3 linked regions of the Alligator mississippiensis genome follow. The protein of the gene in region 3 interacts with the protein of the main gene of each other region in a pairwise test. Links are inferred from orthologs where the notes say so. Each region holds a gene or a part of one and is shown on either strand. Other genes may lie near its edges.

What was found.
Region 1: the proteins of LONRF1 (region 3) and EFHC2 interact in binary tests that used the Homo sapiens proteins (3 or more experiments, as listed by UniProt). The two-hybrid records come from large-scale screens. The link is inferred for Alligator mississippiensis from reciprocal best matches to the Homo sapiens genes LONRF1 and EFHC2.
Region 2: the proteins of LONRF1 (region 3) and TRIM42 interact in binary tests that used the Homo sapiens proteins (3 or more experiments, as listed by UniProt). The two-hybrid records come from large-scale screens. The link is inferred for Alligator mississippiensis from reciprocal best matches to the Homo sapiens genes LONRF1 and TRIM42.

The regions. Positions count from the first base shown.
Region 1 is NC_081824.1:302,538,181-302,546,271, reverse strand, and holds the start of EFHC2 (EF-hand domain-containing family member C2), read right to left. Parts: upstream 3,229-8,091; 5' UTR 3,069-3,228; coding exon 3,027-3,068; intron 1-3,026. UniProt on the Homo sapiens protein: Microtubule inner protein (MIP) part of the dynein-decorated doublet microtubules (DMTs) in cilia axoneme, which is required for motile cilia beating.
Region 2 is NC_081830.1:46,933,794-46,942,647, forward strand, and holds the start of TRIM42 (tripartite motif-containing protein 42), read left to right. Parts: upstream 1-5,626; 5' UTR 5,627-5,738; coding exon 5,739-6,103; intron 6,104-8,110; coding exon 8,111-8,817; intron 8,818-8,854.
Region 3 is NC_081825.1:61,426,983-61,434,742, reverse strand, and holds the start of LONRF1 (LON peptidase N-terminal domain and RING finger protein 1), read left to right. Parts: upstream 1-4,082; 5' UTR 4,083-4,287; coding exon 4,288-4,864; intron 4,865-7,760.

The DNA of each region.
Region 1 (8,091 bases), on a different chromosome or scaffold from region 3:
TATTGCTCATTAATTTAGTACTTGATTATACAAGTACTAAATTTAATGTGCAGTAACTACTGCACATAAATGAACATGTAGATGTGCCCAGGGAGTGTGTCATGCTCTGGATGCCTCCTGATCCATTTCTGCCTGCTGTAATCCTCCTCCTTTCTGCAGCAAATAAAACATTCACACTGGCACTGCTTTTGCTATGCCCACCCCTGCCACCCATGATCTTCACCCAGTGAAAAAGGGACATCCGAATCTAAGCTGTACAAGACAAACTACTTGGAGTCTTTAATAGGTATCCCATCAGCATGGTATATAATCATTGAACTTAATTTATTGAGATGCCCAAGTCAGCTGGATTTTTGTCCCTATTAAACAGAATTGCCAATTACAAAAATAGGCCATTTCAGTAGTAATTACTGCTTTCTGGGAAGCTGCCAAGTTGGAAGGAGGCACTATTTACAGTAGGACACAGACAAAACCTGCTGCCTACATGGTGCCAGCAATAGAGGCAGCTGTGAGATGTCTATCTTAGCAGACTATTGTGTACAGCTGATATGAAAATAAGAAGCAAGAAGTGATGAAGCCTGTCTCATGGCTAAGGAGACACTGAGCACTGTTGGCAGATTTTAAAAAAGTACAGAACCCAAACTATAATAAGACGCAAAGCCCTAAGCACCAGAAAATCATTTTGCAGGCCCCAACAAGCACAGTCACGATTGCCATTAGGCTAGAGTCACTGCCAATAATTGTCACAAAAGTTCAACTAGATCCACTGAGAGAAATCCCAATTAAACAAATTTCCTGATTACGCATGTATAGATTAGGGAAAATAGACTTTTCAGCTTCTCCTTCTGCCATTCCTATTGACCTTCACATTGGCTTAGCAAGTGAAATAACAGTACCACCAGCAAAAGTGATGGTAGCAGTACTAAATGACAATACACAGAGCAACAAGAAGAGGAATAGCATAAAAAGCAGCAGTAATAATAAACCAGGGGGTGACAAGAGCAGCAAAGACCAGACCAGTCATTCCTGTCCTGGAAGTACTATTGCTGTTGCTGGTTTTATCCACAGCCTGGTGGTAGGGTTTGTAGTAGCAGTAAATGTCATTTGTTTCCATCCTACGGTATGAAAGCAATGCCCTCCAGACATCTAAAACATCTGCTGCTTCTGCTGCTGCTCTGCATCTACCATTCTCATGGTGAAGATGGAGAAAGTTATGGCAGCTGTGGTAGGCATAGTCCAAATAGTTCTAGCATCTGTTTGTTTGAATATGGCCTCTTTGGACTTTAATTTGTGAAACTATATGGATAAAAATTAAGCCCAACAGCCAACAGCAGAAGCAGGAGGTAGAACTGCCTCTCTACAACTACCGAGCATTCAAACTGTAGGAAGCATAACAATAGGGGATGAACTAAAGCTCTGAATAATAGCCTAATCTGGTTTCACTGTTATAACTGGGACTTGGTTTTTGTATCGTTAGTTGTCAGAACTATATATGCATTGTGTGTGTGCATATATACATTCACAACACAGACTGCAGAAAGAGGCCTACTTATATATGTGCATTTGAACACATCCACCATTTGTATGCATCCCCTATCTAGACCTCTAGTGTGTAAAGCTAAGTACCATGTCAGATTTGTGACTATGTAAACTTCACAGCTGTCAAAAATTCTATTCAGAATTTAAGGGGCAACTCTATGCATCCTGCTCAAAAACCAAAAACAGGATATTATCTATCAGAAACTAGGTTAAGCTGTGCTTCTTCCATGCATGGCCCATCACTAAGGTACCTGAGGAACCACATACACACCAGCCAGTTCTTTACAAAATATTCTAAACTAGATGTCACAAGACAAGAGAAACAACTCTGATTTTACAATTTGCTGTAAAAATACTGTCTTATAGATTTACAAATTGTCAAAAGTACTTATGGCACTACACCTACACTACAAACTTGTGGATTATTATCCCTAACTTGTTTAACTCTGAAACATTCTCTGTTTACAGTGTATTTGTCTTCCTTTTCTTCTTTGTTATATAAATAACAAGAGTTGAAGCTGCTAAGTTCCTCAATTCTTCCCTGTGTGCCAAGCATTTCCTTTTCCAACTTAAAAACAAAAGCAATTTTTGAGTGCTTATAGAACAATATATAACAGACACAAGGCACGGCAGAGTGACACCTTATAGGCTACCTAATTATAGACTAAAATAGACTGAAATAGTTAAGTCTATAATGTGCCACTCTGCCTTGCCATCCCACTGACTTCAGACTGAAATAGCTAACTGTGCGTATATATGTGTATGTATATATATGCGTGCGTGTGCACACACACCCGCATACACTAATACTTTGTTCTTGCTCCTATTTCACCTCCTGAATAATACAATAAAGATGGCAAACTCCAGAATTTAAGCTAAGTCTGCTTTCGATATCTGCTGTTAGTCCAGTCCATGCATGACAGGAATTTTGCCACAGATTTCAACGAAGACAACCGCACCCCCGTCAATGAACAGAATGTTTGGCGCCTCGGATCTCATCTGCACCTACTTCCCTGACCGTCCAAAGAAGCGATCTGCTGCAAGCCTAACACAGGCAGGCATTCGGTCTCTCACATTCACCCTGCTGCAAGCAAACCTGCATAATAGCATCGCAGCATCCGTGACCACAAAACACAGCAGGGAATGAACTTACACCTTCAGTCAGTCCTCGGGGCACCAACCCAGCAATGGCAGCACCCCCACGGGGACTTTCCTTGACTTTCGGGGCTAGGTAACCTCCTGCTTCCCTAGGGCTCGGCGATCCCCTCCGAGCAGGGGCCAACCTGGTGCTGAAAGCCGCCATGCCCCTTGACCCCCCTGCCCCAGAGGTCACACGCGCACCCTGCCTGTGCCTGACAAGGTCCCAGAAGCCAGGCCTTGCAAGCAGCAGGTCGCCGCAGCTTCCAGTGACCATGCACGGGAGCAATACGGCCGGGGACTGGGGGTGAAGGGGGCGGGGGAGAGCCGCCGGCCCGGCTGTCACTCACGTTCCTGTTGAAGGAGTTCCCGGGCAGAAGCGGCAGCGCCATGCTCGCCCCAGCCCTGGCCCCGAGGGGCCCGCTGCTGCCGCCCGAGCACCCCCACACCTGGCCCGGCGCGAGCTGTTTGGCATCCCGTTGCCTAGAGACCGGGGTGTGACGTCACAAAGGGAAGACTCCGCGCCGCATCCCGTTGCCTAGAGCCCCGTTGTGACGTCACAGAGGGAGCCTGCGCGTCTGAGGGCGCCCCTGCTCTCTGCTGCCCCCTGTAGCTTCGCGGCCCCAGGCCTTGGTACCGCAGGCTCAGCTGCCGCTGACCGCTCTACTGACTCCGACCGGGGCAAATCTTGTGCTATTGGGCGCTGTTCCGACGGCTCCAGGTCCTGCAGGGGGAGAAGAGCAAGGGAACAGCTGGGCTTGGGGAAGGGAGGGGGGTTGGAGGGAAGAGCCCCAGTCCTGGCCTTCCTGTAAAGGGTGAGTACATGGAGAGGTGGACTCCACTCCGGGGTGTCTAACAGCAGGGAGGCAAGTCAGTGAACCTCACCATGTCCACACGCGTGTGCACACTGTAGTGATAAGGGTTAGACCATTATTCACTGCGGAACCTAAACCATTACACACACAACACGCCTGCGCATGCTGCTTGCATTGAGGCAGTTTTGTGATTGGAGGGGGAAGGGATGTCACACATAAGCGTGCGTGTGCGCACACGGACATGATCAGGTGCTTGTACATGTGTGTGTGTATACGTGATCATGTGTGTATGTGCATCGTGTGTAGGCATGCCATGTGTGAGTGTGTGTGCATGTCATGCAGTGTACATGCATCACATGTGTACACATGATGACTGGGGATCCTGGTTTTCTCTGATTAAAAAAAATCCCCAATTTTTGGGTTAGAAAAAGCGACATTTTGCTGTGATCAAACTGAAACACCGCTATATATATATGTCTATGGATTAGTGTTTTGGTTTGATCACAGGAAGATGTGGATTTTGGGTTACTTCTTTAACCCAAAAATTGGGGATTTTTTTTAAATCAGAGAAAACCAGGATCCCTGATGATCACATGTGGATGTGCATCGTGTGTGTGTGAACACACATGTGCACACATGCATGTGCTTCTGAAAAACTCACCATCCAGTTTTCATAAAACCCAGCTGTGAAAGACTCATGAATTCCTCCCTGGATCTTCACAGTTCATGCTCCAGTTTTCCACACACCGCCTCTTCCATGACCTCATGCTTCATGGGGTGCTTGATGTCTCCTCTCCAGCCCCTCCCCACGCATGCTTAGCCCTGTTGTTCAAAATGGTTTACATCAAAAGTCAGACATGCAACTGACAGGACTGAGCAGGACAGGACCTGTCCTAAAGACTTTTCAGCTTCCTGCATGAAGGAATGTTTTAGGTGCTTGCATCTAAACCTTTGCCGTGCATGCTGTCCCACATTTGGGCCTTGATAGGTTTCAGTGGAAGGATAGGCTTTTATGCATTTTTGTGTGTGTTTTTGTACTTTAGTCAGTTGGGATAAGAAATCTAAGGAAACAGGCTTTGCCTTGTGGCTCCCAGACATGCACAGGGTCTCCATAGACTATGTACCAATACTAGCATTTCCAGGAGGGCAGGGAAATGTAAACATTAGAAGAAATAGTTTAATATACATTACAAGGGGAAAAGATAGAAGCATATGTTCTTCAGGAAAGGTTTTGGGGAATCACCCCTCCCCACCCTCAATCTTGAGCACAAATGGCAGAGGTATAGCTAGCTACTTCTTTGCTGTCTCCTACAGCTGTCATGAGCAAGTACCATATCTGTATACCCAGACCATCAGCATGAGATCACCAGGTTGAGTAAATGGCTCACAAGAAACCTGGTCTCAACTTAACCACACTCCTTCCTCAGGAATCAGCCATGAAAGCAGCAACAAGATCAGTGCCATGTTTGTGTTTAATGGGTCTTCTTTAGACACAGGAGAAAATTGCTAAGGCCAAGCCTTCACTTTACCTCTAGAGTACTGCCTTGAGCTTGGCTTCTGCTGTGCTCCCAGTTCAGGTTCTGTTTTTGCTTGCCTAAATTCCTGCTCCAAGTGTAGCTCTGAACTACCTATGCTTAAGCTCTGATAAGAGCATCTTCAAACCATATACCAGGAACCAGCAGTTGAATCACTGGCAACGTGTAGTGAGCGCATGCGAGTGCACGTGCACCCTCCCAAGCGTGGCGGTGCACCCTCTATGAAAAGGCGCCGCCAACACCGTCAGCAGCACCTGCAGGCGGTCACCACTTGCCACCCCTTCACCACTGACACCACCAGTGGCACCTGTGGGCAGTCAGCGATGCCTGAGGGCAGCCACCGCCACTGCCGGCAGCATCTGCAGGTAGTCACCAACCCCTGGTCAGTGCTTACCACCCCCACACCACTGACAGCACCAGCGGTGTCTGTGGGAGCTCCGTGCTTACCACCGCCACACTCCCAACGCTGCTGCTGCACTCCCGCCACAACTGTGTCCCCACAGCCACCAGGGGCATGCATTGTTCATGAGTTGAATAGTTTCTCTGCTTCTGTGCCAAATCTGTTTGTCAGCAGAAAATTGGGTTTGTGACTAAAATATCTTTCCCCTAAAGCATCTTCCCTCTATCAAAGATTTCAATCTTTAGATAAAAAACTGGATAACCAAATTCACAAAAGTTTTTATTTTATGGCCAATATTACAAACATTTTAAACAATATATTTTGATTCTAATATGACATTGTCTCCTAAGGTGTGTAATTCAGTTGCTTCATATTGCTGCCTGTCCATGGTCAGGTGGACCCAGCAGTCATGAGACTCCTATAATTCATCATCTCTTCTTATCAGAAGCAAAGACTGTGGTATGTCATAGAATCCTGCCTACAAAGGAAAATGTGAACAGGAGGAACCATGACAACATTTGCTAATTAAATTATTTCAGGTTTCATTCAATATATTTGCTTTTGGGGTTTTTCCATTAAAAGTCAATATTTTTCATTTAAGACAAAGTTTGACACGTTCTATGGGTGCTTTGTAATAGGGGGTCTACTAAATTAGCATACTCAGGAAACAAAACTTTCAATGTTGGTAGCTATCATTTGAAAAAGCAGGTCTCAAACACATTGACACAAAACATTTTGAAATGCTGACGTGCCAATATGTTCATGTTCTTTTTGTAATATTGAACCAACATGGTAGCTTCTTTAGATAAGGCCTACATGGAGCCAGTGTCAACAAATCATACTAAACTGATTGTTAGCCTGCCCGAGGGCAAGATAGCCACCATTTAAAAGGAGGGCTCAGTTTTCATGTCTAATACATTTCACCATTAATTGATGGTAAGAAATTATTTCTATCCTTTGAATTCCTAAGAAAATTTAATGGGACTTCCATTTTAGCCTCTTCTGCTATAAACACTCCAGTACCACCTTATACAAAGAAAATCATAAGCAAAATAGCAATGTTTCACAATAATTGCTCATGGACATTTGTTGTTTTTACAAATAGGCTGTTTAAATGACATTATTATATTAATAAAATACCTTTAGTACTTCAGCTGTAAGAAAGAGTTGAAAGAGTATTGCACAGCTCATTCTAGTTAGTTATACAAATCCAGGAAAATACAAAAAAAGTGAATGTGGCTCTTCTCATTTGCTTGATTTATTTTTCCTTCTCTATTTCCTGCCTCTATTAAAGCCCTATCAGATTTGACACAGATAAGTAGGAATTAACCCTCTCAAGTGTACTTTATTTTTTTTTCCAATAATGTCCTTAAACTGATCATCTCAAATTGTCAGATTACAAAAATATTTTGAAATTATACAAAAATTGGTTCCTCTTTATGTTTTCATCTGTCATGAGCAATAAGAGACAGTTTTATACTATTATGAGGATCCTGTTATAAATCTTGAGTAAGTTGCAAGTGAGATTTTGAAAACTACACTTAGTACAATTAACATTCTGCAAAAACATGTTATTCGCTGTGGGCCATATGTTTCTCTTCCTGTATAAAGATGCACAGAACGGGTATCATGGAACTCCAAAGTTCCAGGACAGTTAAGAAGCCTAGACAGAGATGAAAGAGTACATTGCTATAAATTTGCACAAGAATACCTGGGGAAGAATTACACCTCCCATTTTTCCTAACACAGTTAAAGCCTACATGTGTAAAAAGCATGCATAAGAGTGACTGCTACTCGAGGTGTGTCTGAATAAACTGTGGCCCAGTTCACACCAAAGTTGATTGCTCCCAGGCACCGCATTTACATGCGTGCCCAGGACTGCTCTACTTTGAGCCAGGTTGGAGCAGACACAGGGGGTCAGCCTGCCAACCCAGGGCTGCTCCAACCTGACTCCATGTGCTGTGAAGGAGCTAGCTGGGGTACAAAGGTGCTCCAGTGTGAGGGTAGCCAGGAGGTTGCTCCCACACTGAAGCACCCTTGTGCCCTGGCCAGCCCTGTTAATAGTCTAATACATCCATTGCTGTGCAGAAAATAACTGCCGCATGATAGTACTTGTGTTGACAAGTACTATAGCAATGTTTATTATTTTCCTGTGGCCACACATGTAGACACAGAGTTTACTGTGGAGCTAATTAGGCAACCACAGTAAACATCTCATGTAGATGTGCCTAGGGAGTAGAAGTAAATAAAGTAGCTAATGCATTTAATTACATCGTTATAAAGTACTTTGCATTTCAAGGGAACATGCTACAGTGAACAGCGAGTCCCATGATTTTTTCCTGGACAAAAATCACCAAGATCTCCGGCTCCACAGTGACAGGGGAAAGATCATGTGGCCAGTTGCAGTGCCGGCCCACCCCTGTCTAGGGCAGTCCACCCTGTCTTGTCTGCCACAACTTGCTGTTCAATAATACAAGATTGAGTAAGTGGGAGGCTGCCCATTTAATGCCCCAGTGCCATGGGGTCTACACACAAATCTGACCTACCCTTACCATGTCCCATGCCTCACAGATGGCATCTAACTTATTAGCAGCTCCGGCCAGAAGCTGGCCAAACTCTGCCCCTTGCTGGGCCTCTCACACATTAGATAGACACTCCGCCCCTC
Region 2 (8,854 bases), on a different chromosome or scaffold from region 3:
GAAAAAAAAGAAAAAAAGGCGGGGAATTAAGCGCACCCCTCGAAAGGGAAGATATAGAAAAAGATAACTTCCCACAATAAGCAAGCAGAAAAGAAAGAAAGAAAGAAAAAGAAACAGTAAGAAAAAAGCTGTAATGTTGCAACTTACAACCAAAGAAACCGGAAGTAAAGGGGGAGGGGACAGAGAACAGAAAAAAAGAGAAAAAACACTGTGAAAATGCAAGAATAGAATCAGAAAGGGAGATAAACAGAAGCAAGAGACCTTTAGACAGGTGGGAGTCAGAAAAGAAAAGAGATAGGAAGCCAGGGAGTCTTACGCTCAGGATCACCCCATGTAGCTCCAAGCGAGCCTGGGCCAAAGCATCCAAAGTGGAAGGAAGGAAGGAAGGAAGGGAGACAGACAGACTTTTAAAAAAGGAAATGAATAGGATAAGCTGTCAGCTAAAAAGTTGAGTTGAATTCAATGAATTAATACTAATAAAGGTTCAGTAAAAATAGTCTTTCCTAAGTCATCTAAGTTAAATTGAAATTGTATTCTTGCAGGACTTAATACCTCAACCTTTTTATTGTTCTTCCATGCTAATTTTGCTTGAGAACTGGGGATCCAACACAGTATCAGAGTAGCTAGGGTTGGAAGGGATCATCCAACAGATCATCAAGTCTGACCCTCTGCCTTGGGCAGGAATAGATGCTGGGGTCATATGACCCCAGTCAGGTGTCTATCCAGCCTCCTCTTAAAGACCCCCAAGGTAGGAGTGAGCACCACTTCCCTTGGAAGTTGGTTCCAGGTCCTAGCCGCCCTAACTGTAAAGTAATACGTCCTGATGTCTAATCATGCAAGTGGCCCTCTCTGGACCCTCTCAATGTTAGCCACATCTCTCTTGAAGTGCGGCACCCAAAACTGGACACAGTACTCCAACTGCGGCCTGACCAATGCTGCATAGAGGGGGAGGCTCACCTCCCTGGACCTGCTTGTGATTCATCTGTGGATGCATGACAAGGTACGGCTAGCCTTACTGACAACTTCCTCACTTTGGCGGCTCATGTTCAACCTGGAGTCAACAATGACTCCAAGGTCCCTTTCCACCTCTGTGCTGATGAGAAGGATGTTTCCCAGCCTATAGGTATGCTGCTGGTTCCTTCTCTTTAGATGAAGTACCCTGCACTTGTCTGCATTGAATTCCATCCTATTCTCATCTGCCCATCTCTGGAGTACAAAGGAGTACATCAAAGGAGTACAAAAAGCACGTGAGGGCTCTAGCATGAATGTGCCTCTGTGAAGCCAATGGGAGCTATGGGAACTTTGCAGGGTAAAGCCCATGAATTGGGGAAACCAACAAAATCATAGTTTAACTGCTGTGCACTTTCATCATTAAGTGGCCTCTTGGCCAAACCATGTTGCTGAAAAACTGTAATTTTTGCTCTGGCAAAAGGAGCGATTAGATGTTTTAGTATCTGCTAATGGTGAACAAACGTGGATAAAAAAGAATGGGTCAGTCTCTAAACCTGCTGCATATCAAAGCAAAGGTCTTAAGGCAGTGTAGTCTATACACAGAGTATAAGAAACAAGAAAATGAAAGAAGATTGGAGAAGCAGCATATAAACAGGGTAACAGAAAAGGTATCATCACTGGCATATCACAATGTAGAACAATAAAAGATGATGAAGATAAACAGTGAAAAATATATCCGAAGACAAAGACAAGAGAAATAATGCAGCAGAGAAGGAGAATGTATTACAGAGAATCAAAGAATGGGGAATCTTGGTCAGAATGACAGGCATGAAAGATGGCTAGAAAGCGGGGAAATAAATATCCAGGAGTTGGTTGCAGCAATCAAATCTTGTCATATCAAGATTTTGCTTTGATCTGAAACTTGACACGTAAGATGAGTAGCTGCTTTTTTTTCCCTTCTTTTTTAAAATATCTATTTAGGAATATCTGAATTATAAGACTGAAAAAAGCAGCAAGCATTAGTATTACAAGATATGCTTTCATGCTCATGGAATTCAAAAGTGTTTTAATTTTCTAAATTAAATATGCACAAAGAAGAGAAAAGAAAGCTTAGCCATCAAAGGAACCTGGGGAAATAAAATGTAAAAACCCACAGCTACTAAAGGTCTGAGTATTTGCAATAAATTATTTTGCTCAAATATTCTAGAAAGATTTTTCATACACAGACGTAGTACTTCTACTTCATTGACACAATAGCCCATAACCATTCCAAAGGCTCTATTATGGTCCATCATGTAAATGGCCGCCTATAATGACTGAGCCATTATGGTCTATTGGGCTATGGATCAGGGAATTAAAAATTCTCTAACTAGAGTAGGTTTTGTGCATATAGGCTCTAATGGCTACAAAGGAGCTGTTACAATAAAGTATGCCAAGATGCGTGCCTTAATAATTCCCAAATTAGGCATTAACCGATTAACCCAAGCTAATGAATATTTTGCATTTTAAAGAAACTCTTAATTACCTACAGTAAGTACAGTGATCACCATTAAAAGCCAACACTCACCAACAGCTACCATACAGTGGTCACTCTTATTTTCAGTTTTGAGTTGAGGAATAAAGTACTCAACCCTAAATGCAACTGCGTGGTAACTGGTGTCAATAGTTTTGTAGTAATCAGTGTATCAGTCTGTTAGTGTGTGATGCTTAGAGGCTTTCAAGTGAGGCACCAATACAATTTTAATGTTTTAAGTTAACTTTTTCCCTTATGTTTTCCTTTCCACTCCCTAAGGTAAGTAAACAGTATAGTTTAAATTTGAGAAGATAAAGATTTATAAATGTCTGAAGTGGGCTAATACAAACCAATGAGCACAGAATCTGTGAAAAATGCTGTATCACATTGCATTGATGTAATCTCAGTGAAGTTAAAAAAACTCTATGCCTAAACTGTTGGAGACTACCATGAGAGAGGGTTGGCGCCAGTGCAACCCTGTTATATCACTTTCAGATAATTCCTTTGGTCAGTCCTTAGAGGAGAGAGTGCAAGACATTGTTCAAGAGAAACCCATTGTCTTATGAAAGCTTGGCAGTGCTTGGCTCTACAGGGATGCTTTTGCAGTAATTACTGACTAGGAAGATATGTGACTATCACACAGCTTCACATATAATCAGTTTAAAATATTTTCCTGTTCTCCCCGCCTCACAAACCTGCCTCTTTCAAAAAGGTACATGGCTTATCTCTTTGGAAAATGTGGATCCCACTTCTGAGGTATGGGGATCATAAGCACTGATCTCCTTCATCACGCTGCAGTGCAATGCTGTATAGTGGCAGCTAGTCTACCATGGGAACCAGAAGGAATATAGCTGCATCAGTACAGGTTAATCTATCCTGGTCAAATCCCTCAACAAATATCAGCATCAATGGACAGTCTACCTGAGAGGATTTAATCCTCCCAAAATAATAATCTAATTAACAACCTCTTTGGCACTTTGGGATGGCTGGGAGTGAGGTGCTCTGGTACAGTCCTGTTGAAATTATTCCACTTTCCATTATATCATGCACTAGGAAAAGAGATGGAAAATGACTACAGTCACATAGATCATTCTCAGAGAGAAGGAGAGAGCAGGGTTCTAGCCCCTGCTCTACTAAATATTTAGCATAATATAGTGAAATATTCAGTAAGGTAAAAACTTGAACCCAAGGTTTTCCTTTGTCCTGTGAGCCCCTGACTTACCTATTTTATGCTAAATATTCAATAGAACATAATTTTCCCTGCTGAGTATCCTAACTAGTAGGCAGAGGTATCATACTCACTTTCTTTCCTGCTCTTCTAGCACAGTAATTTTCATAGAGGGGCCATATCAGTGACTCCATGGCTAGTTTGGAGAAGTCTGATACAAAAGGTGTACTCTGAGAATGACTACTAGTGAGAGAAGCAAAGGAACTTGTAGTTCATGAATGCTGATTTATGCCTAAGATAGGTGCTGACTGAGCCACTTGTTATTGTCAAGCCTGAGGTGTTCTTGGGCATGCCCAGAAGAAGACTTTTAGGCTTCTAGGAAGCTTCAGTACCAGAAATATAGGTACTTTCACATTGTAGGCAACTCAAAAGTTAGAAAGCAGCTGAGCAGTATTTTGGAGAATCTATATTTTAAGCTTTGGTGTCTAAAGTTGCACCTGAAATGTAGCTATAGAAACGTGCATGCAAGCATTTGAAACAAAGTGCTGTAGATGGCTCTTAAAGATACTCAGCTTATAGTGTCAGCTCATAGTTGAGCTGATTCAGGTATTCAGCTCATAGCTGAGAACTGATATTACAGCTGATGTTGGAAAATATAAAATTTTGGTTTGACCACATTATAAGACATCCTGCTTTGGCCAATAGAATACTTAAAGGAGAAGTGAATACAAGGAGAAAAAGAAGCTGGCCAAGGAAAATGTAGATACATACTATTACTGAGGCCCTGGAGAGATTTTACATGCAAGACATGATTAACTGGTTAATCATGTCTTAAGTAGTGACCTAGCCACACGTTCAATAAATTAATAGCATGATAAAATCAGGAACAAGCCACAAAATGATTACATAAAATATGTGTAATAATTTTATGGGTGGTTCTTTTTATGCCTTTAATTGCATGTGTGGCCACTGGCCAGCCTCTAGTGCACATGGGAGCCTGTCAAGACTCTTGTATGCTCCAGACACTGGGAGGCACCTCAGCTGATTGGGGCTCCCAGCCTGGAAGTGCACCATGTACATGATGTGTTGAAGCCATGCTTGCTACTTGCTGAGGCAAGGGGAGCTCTGGTTCAGGCTCCTCCTCCACTGGCAACATAGCAAAATGGGATCTGATGCACCTCCTGCCACATACATGTGACACGGCGGAAAGTAAGTTGTGGTATTATTCTTGGATCTAGGCCAATAGAAAACAAATTTCAAAATAAGGCATTGAATGAGCTCTTGAAATAAATGGGGATCATACAAATGGATAAATGCTGAAAGTGTCTCCTCTGCAAAAGCAGATAGCATTTCTTTTATCATGTATTCCTTTTGAAGCTATTTAATCACTGACTGAAAAGGACAGGGAGAATCTGGAAGTAGGTGAGGTAGAAAAGTAGAAACCAACACTGCTTTGTTTCTTAGGGTGTATCAACAGGTCACCTGCCCTGAGAAAGAGAAGACTCCATAAAATGTCTTTCTCCCACCACGAAGGAAGCAAGCGAAAAGTCTCTATGTTCTCTCTGTGGTAAGGTGGAATTAAAATTTTCATCAAAACCCCAGGGATTCTTTGGCACACAAGAAATTCTGGGGCATGTGATTTGAATATGTAATATTTTGCACATATTAAATATGAACTTGAACAACCAGTGAAATATTAATTGTTACTTATTTTTATATCAAATTCATTTTATTTCACGCTGCTTCCAAATTTTCAACATGTTCCAGAATTCTACATAACTTGCATTGGCTGTTGGGGCAATACGTGAATTTGCCAGCTTAGATATACTAGTGTTTAGTGCCAGTGGAAGAAACCTGAAAGGCAATGCTTAGCAACTGTGATATAAAAAGATAATCAAGTGAGTAATGTACATGTGCAAATATGGCCATGTTCATGCCCTTATTTGGAATCTCTTTGTGATGTCACTATTAGTCTCTAACCAGAGAAAAAAAATCCACCTCTCCTCCAAAGCACAAAGCTTTGAAGAGGGGAGTGCTGCTGTGTAACATAAAGTGAGGACACGCTGAAAGGCTTGGCAAGTGGTCTTCTAAGTGTCTTACAGGGTGATGGCCAGGACTTTATGCTTATGTTGCTTATTTTGGCCATGTTGTCCAGGCTGCCATTGCTGTCCGCCGATCTTAACAAAAGAAGAAGAATGCTGCTTATGTTGGCGTTTTTTATTTACTGAAGAGCGGAATTGCAACTGTTTTCCCTGCGCTTACCATGAAGATCGATCTTGCCAGTGTTGCCATTGCACATGTTCAGAGAACCCAAATTGTATTTGGTGCTGCTGCTCTTTCTCAACTGATGAAGACTGTAAGTGTTGCTGCTGTGCCACCGATGAGAATACCGTTTGTCAGTGTTATGAAAGCACATGCTGCAGAAATGTTGCCCATTCACCATACCATCCAAGAATCCCAAGGAGAAATCAGTAAGTGAAACCAAAGCCTGTTTTTGAAATTCCTTCTTTTTAAATTTATATTATGGTCTATTAGCTCTGTGGAATTTAGGGGCAAAATTTTGGGCACCTTTTTCTCAAGGTGTTAGACATGGCTGGAAATAGTGATAATGCCAGACTGAGCCAAACCAAGAAAGAGGAAAGGAAAAAGTGTGGAGTATTCCAAGAAAACAACAAAGTAGACTACTAAAGAGAGTAAAGTGCTAATCAATTGTAAATGAGGGAAAGGATTATAGTTAGGGGGAAGAGAAAGAGGAAGAAAACCAAATATATTTTTTAAAAAGTGCTCTGAAGAGAATTGGAAGAAGAAATAATATTACAAAAAAAGTATTACTAATTTTAGAGATTCATCTGAAGAGCATATATTAAAATGGAGACATAACTACTGACTAAGGCAGGCTGAGGATGGAGGAGGATTGCTCAAACATGGAGGGATACATGACTGTGTCAGTGCTTTTTTCTGGGACTAAAAATCCTGGAGGTTCATAGTGAGAATGTCTTACTCCTCAACCCAGGGTCAGACTAATCACCACATTTGAGATCAGAAAGGAATTTTACCATACAGCTCAGCATGGGCACTGCATGTATGTGGAGTGGATGGGGGTTACCTCCCTCCATACCTCTTTCTATAGCAGGGACCATAGGCCCTCTTCCTTGGATCCGTCTTGTGTTTAACAATTACTTCCTGTGCTTGTTGTGGCAGGATACTGACAGTGCCCTTTGTCCCCGAGCTTTACCTGTGGCAAGTGAGGCAGTTTGGGGATTGTGTCTGTTAGTTGTGCATGATGTTTTTTACGCAGTTTTAAGAATAGCTTATGGAGACAGTTGGTCACAGTTTTGAAAATGAATAGTGATTTTTGTGTACCTGACTGGAGACATATTAAAATAGCCTTGACTTTCAAACTATAAATGGTCAACATTTCTGAAAACTGGGTAACTTTGTGGCATTCCAAGCTGTGTATCTCAAGTGCAAGAAAACTTACAAGCAACTTTTGATAGTCTTAACCCTAAAAATCTAGAACCAGTACCCAGGGTCACATTGGAAGGCCAATTCTTACCACCCTCCTAAATAAAAAGAAAGCTGTGCATGAAAATCAGGAGATGGAAGATAGGCAAGGGGTTTTCTTTTCTTCTCCACTGTATAGTAAGTTTACTGACAAATGCAATTCCAGACAGACCAAACCTATAATTAATAAAAAAAGTTGAAAATGTTAAAAAAAAGTTTTGATATTTTTTAATTAAAGCATGTATTTTAAGAAATAACTCTCAATTTAATACTTTCAGAATGAAACATTCTGACTTTTACTTTCAGCAAAACATTCTTCATTTAAAAACTGACAACAATAGTAATAATAAAATGGAGTATTTAAAAAAAAACAACTAGGATATCCTGAAAATGATACAAACCAATTCATTTCAGGTTGAAAGAAAAAAAATCATGCAAAACATTTCAATTTAAATCAAAACATTTCAGGTTTTCCCATTTTAAAGCAAAAATAATCCCAAAATGCTGGGAAATCCCAAAATGAGGGAAAAAATATTCTTTAGGTTTTTTCCTCCTGCTTGCTATCCAAACCTCCCAGAAATCCATTATTCTGCTCATTCCCAATGAACTATCTGCTTATTGCATATTCTGTTTCCTGTCTATCTATTTGTATCATATCTTTATAAAAATGTAACGAAATACACAGGTTATAAATAAGGAATAAGAAAACAAAATGCAGATGTTTGTTTGTGTTAGTTTGTGTAATGCTTGCAATATAAATGCTGGAACTGAAATGGATAGTTTCATACGTATTGGCTAAGTAGAGACAGTCAAAAAGCTTATTCATAAGTATTCACTGGGGGAATAGAGGATCATACCCATATTTAAAGTGTAAGATATCTTCAGTAAATAATGCAAAGCTATATATATATATTACAGCCTGTTTCTTAATGAACATTTGGAAGCTGAGAAGATCTTGTTTCTTTCTTTTTCAGTTCAAGGCTGTCTTTACCAGGCCCTGGAACTACAAGTGATACATCTGTCATTACACTGGACAAGGATGTCTCAGGGCATAGTTTTCGTGATCAACTCACCTGTCCAGCGTGTAAACAACTGTACCTCCACCCATTTATGCTTCCCTGTAAACATTGTGTTTGTGGGGATTGCATAGGTAAAAGGAGGGCCAAGGCTGAAGTGTCTGAGAACTTTTTCATTCTCATATGCCCAGTGTGTAACAAAGCACATTGCCTTCCCTATTCTAATAAAATTCAGCTGAAGAAGAATTTACTGAGAGCCAAACTGGCTAAGAGATATATGCAGAAACATGGCCTTATCAGGTGGAGATTTGACAGAACTCAGACATCAATTTATTGTCAAGCTTGCAAAGAGAAGAAAAGAAAGGCATCCAAAAGATGTCTGACATGTCAAATGAATTTTTGTAAAGAATGTCTCAGTTTATATCATAGAGATGATTCTGCTCAAGAGCACATTTTTACCAAAGCCTATCAAGAAGATCAAGAACAGTCAAACTGTTTAGTACATTCCAGTTCACCTATCTCTGAATACTGTGTAGATGACCATGAGCTAATCTGTGACTACTGCAAGAACTCACTGCACAGTGACCATGAGACATTGCCCTTGATAGTGGCATGCTCAAGGGAGGCTGGTGCCCTCTTCAATGCTATTGCAAAATTTAAAAAAGGTTCCTATTTTTCTTTTCCACTTATTTACACTTATTG
Region 3 (7,760 bases):
GAAGTTACTGTAATGGTTTTCTCTCTTTTGCAGGCACTTGGAATATATGTAGAGTGAAGATCACTTTGCTGTTTGTTAATGTAATCCTGGACTAAAAAAAAAAGAATTCAGGGGATTTTTTTGATGTCTAGGTTTCAAAGAGAATCCTACAGGAAGAGTATGTGCAACGGATAATGTAGAGAGAGCAGCACAAAGGGGGTAAAAAGAGCAACATAAAAAGCATTTCTAGTAAGCAGCATGGAAACTAAGGAAGGCTTTTTTGTAATAATTTGGAGAAAGCAAGAAATAACATTCCCTGCTTATTGCTACTCATCATTCCTGGCCTCCTTGATTTTTCTCCTCTTTGTTTGTTTGTTTGTTTGTTTGTTTGTAGACAAGGAAATATGGAAACACTTCTGCTCCAGACCTCCCAGAAAAAAGAAATGCTAACAAGAGATGTTATAAGTGTCATTGGACCTAAAAAGTATGGAAGGTTCTCCTCCTACCTTTTTAATCAGTTTTTCAGTGTGTTCTCAGAGAATCTTTCTTGTCTCCCCAATTTAATGTGGGGTTCCACAGAACTCTGTCTTCTCTTCTCCTTCTGCACCTTTTCTATGGGTAATTGCAACTGAAACAAACACCGTTTCTCTGCTGTGACTCACAAATCTGACTCTACTCTAGACCTGTCTCCTCTCCAAATTAAAATTTCTTCCTATCTTTCTGGCTCCTTGTGGAATTCTAGCATACAGCTCAAGCTCCATATACATAAAACTAGCCAACTGCCCATCAAGAATGATGGGGGAGGGAGCAGGTGGGAATGGAGCCCCGTGTCATTCGTCATCGTAGTCCCTCCCATCTGGGCCCACTCCCCACTTCCCTCCTGCTGCTTGGGGCCCGGGCCTGATGCAGGGAAGGACTGGGGCCAAGGGTGGGGAGAAGCTGGGCTGCTGCAGCGGGTTGTGGGGAGCAGGGGGCCCGGGCTGACCCGGTGGCAGGGAGGAAACAGGAGAAGCGGGCTTGGGGCCAACACAGAGAAGTGGGGATGGGGGAGAAGTGGGTTGGGGCCCAAGAGAAGGAGGAGGCCCAGTCCTCCCCTCCCCCCACCACTGCTATGTTGGCCCAGGCCCACTGCTCCCCCCTCCCACCGCCATGGCAGGCTGGCTTCTCCACCCCCCTCAAGCCCTATCCTCCCCCACATCTCTGACATCAGACCCAGGCCCAGGCCTGCTTCTCCCCTCCCCCCACCACTGACGCATGGGCCTGGGCCTGCTTCTGACCCCCCCGCCGCCATGATGGGCCTCGTCCCCGCCCCGCACACCGGGCCCAGGCCCGCTCCTCCCAGTTCTGCTTGGGGTCTGGGACCACTGCCCCATTCCCCACCATGGCAGCACAGGGAGGGCAGGAGCATGAGCATATCCGCTCCTCCCTTCCCTGTCACCATGACTGGCTCAGGCCCACTACCCACCCACACCACCTGCCACTTGGGGTCCGGCCCACTCCACCAGCTCCAAGAGGCAGAGTGTGTGGGGTGGAGGCAAAAACAACTCCTTCCCCCGCACGTCACACCCACTCCTCCCCCCACCGCCACTGCATCAGCCCTGCAGGCAGCAACAATGGAAGCAGGGAGGGGCAGGCCAAGGCCAGTGCCGGTGGCCTTACCCTCCCATGGTGTCCCGACCCTGCTCCCTCTCCCCACACCACTGCCGCTGCCATTACCTCCAAGGAGGGGAGCAGGGAGCAGGGCAGGGGGAGCAAGGCCAGCAGTGCTGGCCTTGCCTCCCCCACTCTGTCCCCTGGGTCCCTACCATCATGGCGACAGGCTGCCATCTGTCCAAATGCTTCTTCACACTCTGGTTGACTGTTTGTCAGCCAATCAGAGCATGAATAAAACGTTACAGACAGACAGACAGACAGACAGATGGATAGACTTAGGCTTTTATAATACAGTAAAAGCTTTGTTATCTGGCACCCATGGGAAATTGGGGGTGCCAGTTAATCAAACATGCCAGTTATCTGAGAGTTATACTTATCTCCAGCCCAGCAGATTGGAGGTGCCTTTGCCTGTTTGGGCTGCCACCCCTCCTGCCATGTCTGATGCACCAGGACTTTCACTCCTTGGTGTCAGTGTGTTGGGGGACAGGGAGGGGGACCCACACAGGCTGCTTTGCCCCGGGCCATGGTCCATGAGGAAGAAGTGGGACACAGCTTGCGGTGGCAAAACTGGAAGCACCATGGTGGGACAGATGCCAGTTAATAGAGCATTCCAGATGGTAGAGTGCCAGATAACACAGCTTTTACTGTATTAGAATAGAGCTCTTAATCTTTTTCCTCTCAAGTTAACCATCCCCCGCCCCCAACCTTATAATCTGAGAATCATTTTCAACTTGGACCTTTTTCTAGGTCCTCACATTGAAGCATCATCTAAATCATGCAGATCTTTTCTTCATGTGGACTTAATGTAGTTGCCTCTCCACCTATGCATCTAAAACTCATGTGAGCTGTTGAGATCCTGAACAATGTAGTGAATGAAACATTTGTTTCCTTCTGGCTCTAGTACCTTGCACTGAATTTAGGAGTAAAGAGGATAGGTGTAGAAAGGAACAGTTTGGAAGAAGAACCAGGCAGCCAGTGTAGCTACATGCAGTTGCAAAGATGTGTAAAAAAGTTGCTTTTTTCATCATTTAAAGTGCTTTATTGCCATGATTTACCAGAAGTGCATGGCTTTACAGCACTTTAGAAATGGGTACAGTGCTTTAAATTAACCATTGTTAAATGAGGTATTAATGTTGAAGCGCTGTATTGTACAGCACTTTAGCAACGTGCTTTAAATAACTTCTGTAAGATGGTCAAATTTCTGACCAATGGAGAAGCTCCAGGAGGCTGCAGAGCCCCACTTTACCCCCAAACCTGGAAAGTAGGGAGAGGCTCCTCCCCTCCACAAACACTGCACTTCTGTCATGTTTAAGAGTCCTGTAACTTCATAGTGCTATAAAAAAGTGCACTTTTTACAGTGCTGTAAAACATGCATACATCATTTCTGTGCACACCCTCTATAAGTAGGTCTCTTAATAAAGAGAAAATTGATTTTTACAGGAATGAAGTCTTTGCCTGGGACGCCCACAGGCAGTGGTACATGAAGGGTGAAGCCTGGACAGCAGGCATCTTGCAGCACCTGTCCCTGCAGAAGGCCACTGCAAAGATCCTTTCCCTGACTGTCATCCCATCCCATCCCTCTTGTCTATTGCATAAAATGCCCCTTGTTCTGGAGACCCATCTACCTACCTATCCCCTAGTGAGTTGTTGGCTCGTTTTCACTGGGCCCCATGAGTCCAGCTCCCAGGAGCCACCTGGAAAGTACCCCCCCCCACACACACACACACCTGCAAAGTGACTGCAAGACCCCTCCCCCACCTTCAAAGACTCCCCTCAAACTCCCCTTCTCCATGGTGTCTACAGAGCACTGTACTGTGGCTACACTGCCAATGTGCTGCTGTTGCTGCCAGCTGTCCGGCCTGAGCACACTGCTGCCCTGTGCTGCCCCAGCCTTGTGTGTGAGTGACAGATGGGGGCACTGGTGCGTTGGGGGGGGGGGGGGGGAGTGTGTTTACGCGCCAGGGGAATGGGGCACGGCTGCCTTACACTGTCCCTTCTCCCTTTGGGAAGGCACGGGGCATTGCTGTCCTGCCCCTCTGCGTGTGTGCGGGACCATCCCGTGCCCTTTAGTTCACGCGGGAGAGGCTGAACTCTGAGGCAGGCGCTCCCTCCCGCCCGGCAGCGCGTGCCGGGCCCCCGGTTCCTGTCTGGAGCTGTCCCATGTTCCGCTGAGACGGGCCTGAAGGCTCAGACACGGGAGCGGGAGGAGACGGACCGAGGTCCCTTCCCAGCCCAGCGCAGCCCCAGGCTCCGCGTGACGAGCGCTGAGGAGCGGAGACATCCCGCGTGTAGCTCCGCCCCACTCCCCGGCCCCGCCCCCACCGCTTCTGGAACGCGCGGCGCGTGGGGCTGTTTTGTAATCGTCCCCCGACCCCCCCCCATCGCCATGCCGCCACCGCTCGCAGCCAATGAGAAGTGCGCCGCGCCGTCACGTGACGCGGCATTTTATGTAAGCCGGGGCTGGGGCGCGCGGCGCGGCGGTTCCGCGGAGACGTTTGAAAAGGGGACGACGGTGCGGCCCCGCCCTCCCCCTCGGTGCCGTGCGCACAGCAGAGCCTGGCGCCGCCCGAGGGGCTGTTACACCCCCCTCGCGCCGCCGCCTCAGCAGCAGCCGGAGCCGCTCCGCGCGCGGGGCAGCCGCAGCGGCCGGCGGCGATGGCGGGGCCCCCGGTGGCCGTGAGCTGCGAGGCGGAGCCCGAGCCCGAGCCGGGTGGCAGCGCGGAGGCGGGGGGAGAGCAGGAGCTGCTGCTGCGGCGCGGGGACCTGCTGGCGCTGGGCAGCCGCCTCAAGGAAGCGCTGGAGACCTACTCGGCCGCGCTGCGCCTCGGGCCGCCGCCGGGGCCGCGCCGCCTCGACACCCTCGTGGGCTGCCTGGTGCTGCACTACCGCCTGCGTCACGGGCTGCGCTGCGGCCGGGGCCGGCCCGAGGCGGGCGGCCCGCTGCGCTGCTGCGGCTGCCGGGGCTTCCTGAGCGAGCCGGTGACGGCGCCGTGCGGCCACAGCTACTGCCGCCGCTGCCTGCGCCGCGAGCTGTGGGCCCGCTGCCGCCGCTGCCGCGAGCGCCTGCCCGCGCCGCCGCCGCCGCGCATCAACGTCGTGCTCAACCAGCTGGCAGAGAAGTGGTTCCCGGCCGAGTGCGAGCGGGCGCGGGGCCGCCGGCGCCTGGCGGAGCTGCTGGGCCAAGGCCGCTTCCGAGAGGCGCTGGGCGCCGCCAGCCGCGCGCTGCGAGCAGGTGGGTAGCGTGGCCCCGGGCCTCGGGCTGGTGCCCAGCACCCCCCACGCACACACGCACACTGCCCCGTCGTGCCCAAGTCCGCCTTCCCCTCAGCGCTGTCCCCTCGTCTGAGTCCTTCTCCCCCGACCATCCCTGCCTGCCTGCACCCCCTTTCTCCTCACCACCATTGCTGACCTGTATGTCCATGCCCCTCTTCTCCCCCTGCTGCCCTCTCATGTCTGAGACCCCCCCACTTCTTCCCCCCCCCCTTGCCCCTGTCATGTCTGAGACCCCCTTCTCCCCCAGCCTATCACTGTCTCTCAAAACAGAGGGGCTTTCTCTGACAAGCCCAAGTTTTCCAGTGTTCCCAGACCTGGCCCTTCCCATGCTGCCTGCAGGCGCCACCGCCCCTTCTGGCTTTATGTAAAGGGATGCGTCTGGTGATTGGTGGTGTGGAAGCAGGGCTGGGGCAGCAGGGCAGCCAGGTGTCGTCTTGCACATCAGTCTCCCCCACTTCTGTGGTGGACATTGTTGGACAGTGGCTGTTCTATTTACCTTGTTTCCAAATTACTTTCTCTCTTACCGGTGTCACCAAGACAATTGCCAGCAGGCTGGGCCTAGTTGCATAAGCCGTCCGGGCATGGAGGGGGACAGGTTGTGTAATGCTGGTGACATCACGGGTGGGTGTGGCTGGTGTTTTATAATGTAGTGTTGGGAGAGGGCACAAGGGATGTTCCCTGTGAAGGGATGTTCTTGGATTATTATTTAGTGAGCACTAACAGTATGCTTGGCACTCTGTAAACATAGAGGGCATGGTTGACATTTCAAAGAGGTTAGTCTTGTTCGTGCGGGCATTTGGAATCTGTCACGATGAAGGGGATATAAATACCTAGACAAAGTCAGATTCCCCCTTGTAGCACTTCTGTTCCAGTGTGGGTGGCTAACTTCTGTGATATGCAGGTGTCTAATTTTCCATTTCAGTACACTTTTTTCCCTTAAACTGATTGTGGTGCATCTAGAAAGGAATTACTGGTAATGCTTAATATGCTGCATTTTCCTGCCAGCTGCAGGAAAAATAGAAGCATAGATTACAAACTGAGCAGTTCTATCTGACGTGACAAGCCTGTCTTCTGATCCAAACTGGGGAGATGCTAGTTTCAGAATAAATTGTCAACAAATGTAGTTTGTCTTCAGATATGTTTTAGAATATTTCAGACCTGTAATTGCAGTAGTTGGTTTAGGTGGGAATTAAAAAGGGTGGGGTCCAATTTTACTTTTGGACTAGGAATTTGTTGAAAATTAGAAAACATTTTATTCATATTCTAGAACTTAGCATCAACTCCTATATGTATGTCACAAAGAAATGAAGTCTTATCTAAATGGGTTTCCCATAGTAGTTTGGATTATCCATGATTAATCATAAGCATAAAGTTGGAAGTTAAACAGCTTCAAGTGTTTCTGGTCTCTAGTTTGTTTGTTTTGTTTTGGTTTGGTTTTGGTTTTTTGAGGGACTAAGAACATTTTTTTTTTTTTTTTTTTTTTTTAAGGCAACCAGAATTTTATACAAAAAGTTTAAAGTAAAAAGTGTCTGCAGAGGTCTCTTCTAAAGCTAGTAGTATCAGTTATGGTTCTGATTTCGCCATTAAAACTTGAGGCTTCTGTGGAGAGAGTTCTTTTGTTGCAAAATTTGTTACATTTAAGGTTAGGCTTAGTTAATTCTGGTTAAAATTTGAAAATAAGCTTTCAGGCCTGATACTTATCCATAATTTTGTTATGTGCAATTATGTAAATATTAAATCACAGGCTTATGTAAGAAGCAAGGATTTTGGGGGGTGATATCTTTTCTTGGGCCAACTTCGTGGTTAGGATAAAGCTAGACAAGCTTTCAAATTCAAGGCATTCTTCGTACTTATTCAAAAGCTTAATATCTCTTGTTTGTTGCTTGTTTTTTGTGTGTTTTTTTTTTTTTCTCCCTCTCCATAGCACGGAGAAATATTCATGTTTCAAGCCCTGAGGGCTTTTGTAGTTTAAAGTTGTTACTTTTTTAAATACCAGTGCTGATGTACTGGAAGCCTTAAGGAGAAATATATAACTACTGTTGTTTTAACATAAATTTAGAGACTTTCAGATTTACTGATCTGTGACTATATAATGATGAAACATTGTTGTAAAGTAGGCAAATGCACAAGCTGGTTACTGTGCATTCTGGGCTGCTTGGAAAGGAGGAGAGAGCATCTATACACACAACAATTTATTCTCTTGCTGTTTGTATTTGTTTTAAGGAAGCTTTTTTTCCCTATCAGCCCACCTCTGTTCTGTTTTGTACAAACCTACATAAACTTATTTGACGTTGTCATGAATTAAAGGCTACCACCATATCCTTATTCAAATAACATTTTTACGAACTTTTTTTAGTGGAAGGGGGAGTTAATTTAATGATAAGCTTGGATGTTTGCCTTGGTATGAAAATAGCTTAAAATGTGAGAGAGGTTAGCTGTTGTGTTGGTAAGTTTTTACAGTGGAATTCTGATTCCTACATTAGAATGGAAGTGGATGTACTTAAACAGAGGCTGTTAGATTCAAATCCAGATAAAAATATTTTGTGTATTATTTGTCTTAAATACTTGCCCTGCTTTCCTTCCCAACATGCACAATTAATGGATTTGCTCTCATATCATTAAGTAAGTTCACTGAAATCATAGAATCATAGGGTTGGAAGGGACCTTGAGGACCATCTGGCTCAACCTCCTGCAGAAATGCTGTTCCTAAATCATGCCTGACCAGTCACTGCTTATCCAACCACCTCTTGAAAAAATCAGCAGTAAAGGGGAGATTTTGTAACTCCCTGAGCAGTCTGTTTCACTCTTTTGCCCTCCTTTCGTACAGAAAATTACTTGAATGTTGTAGCTTTCAT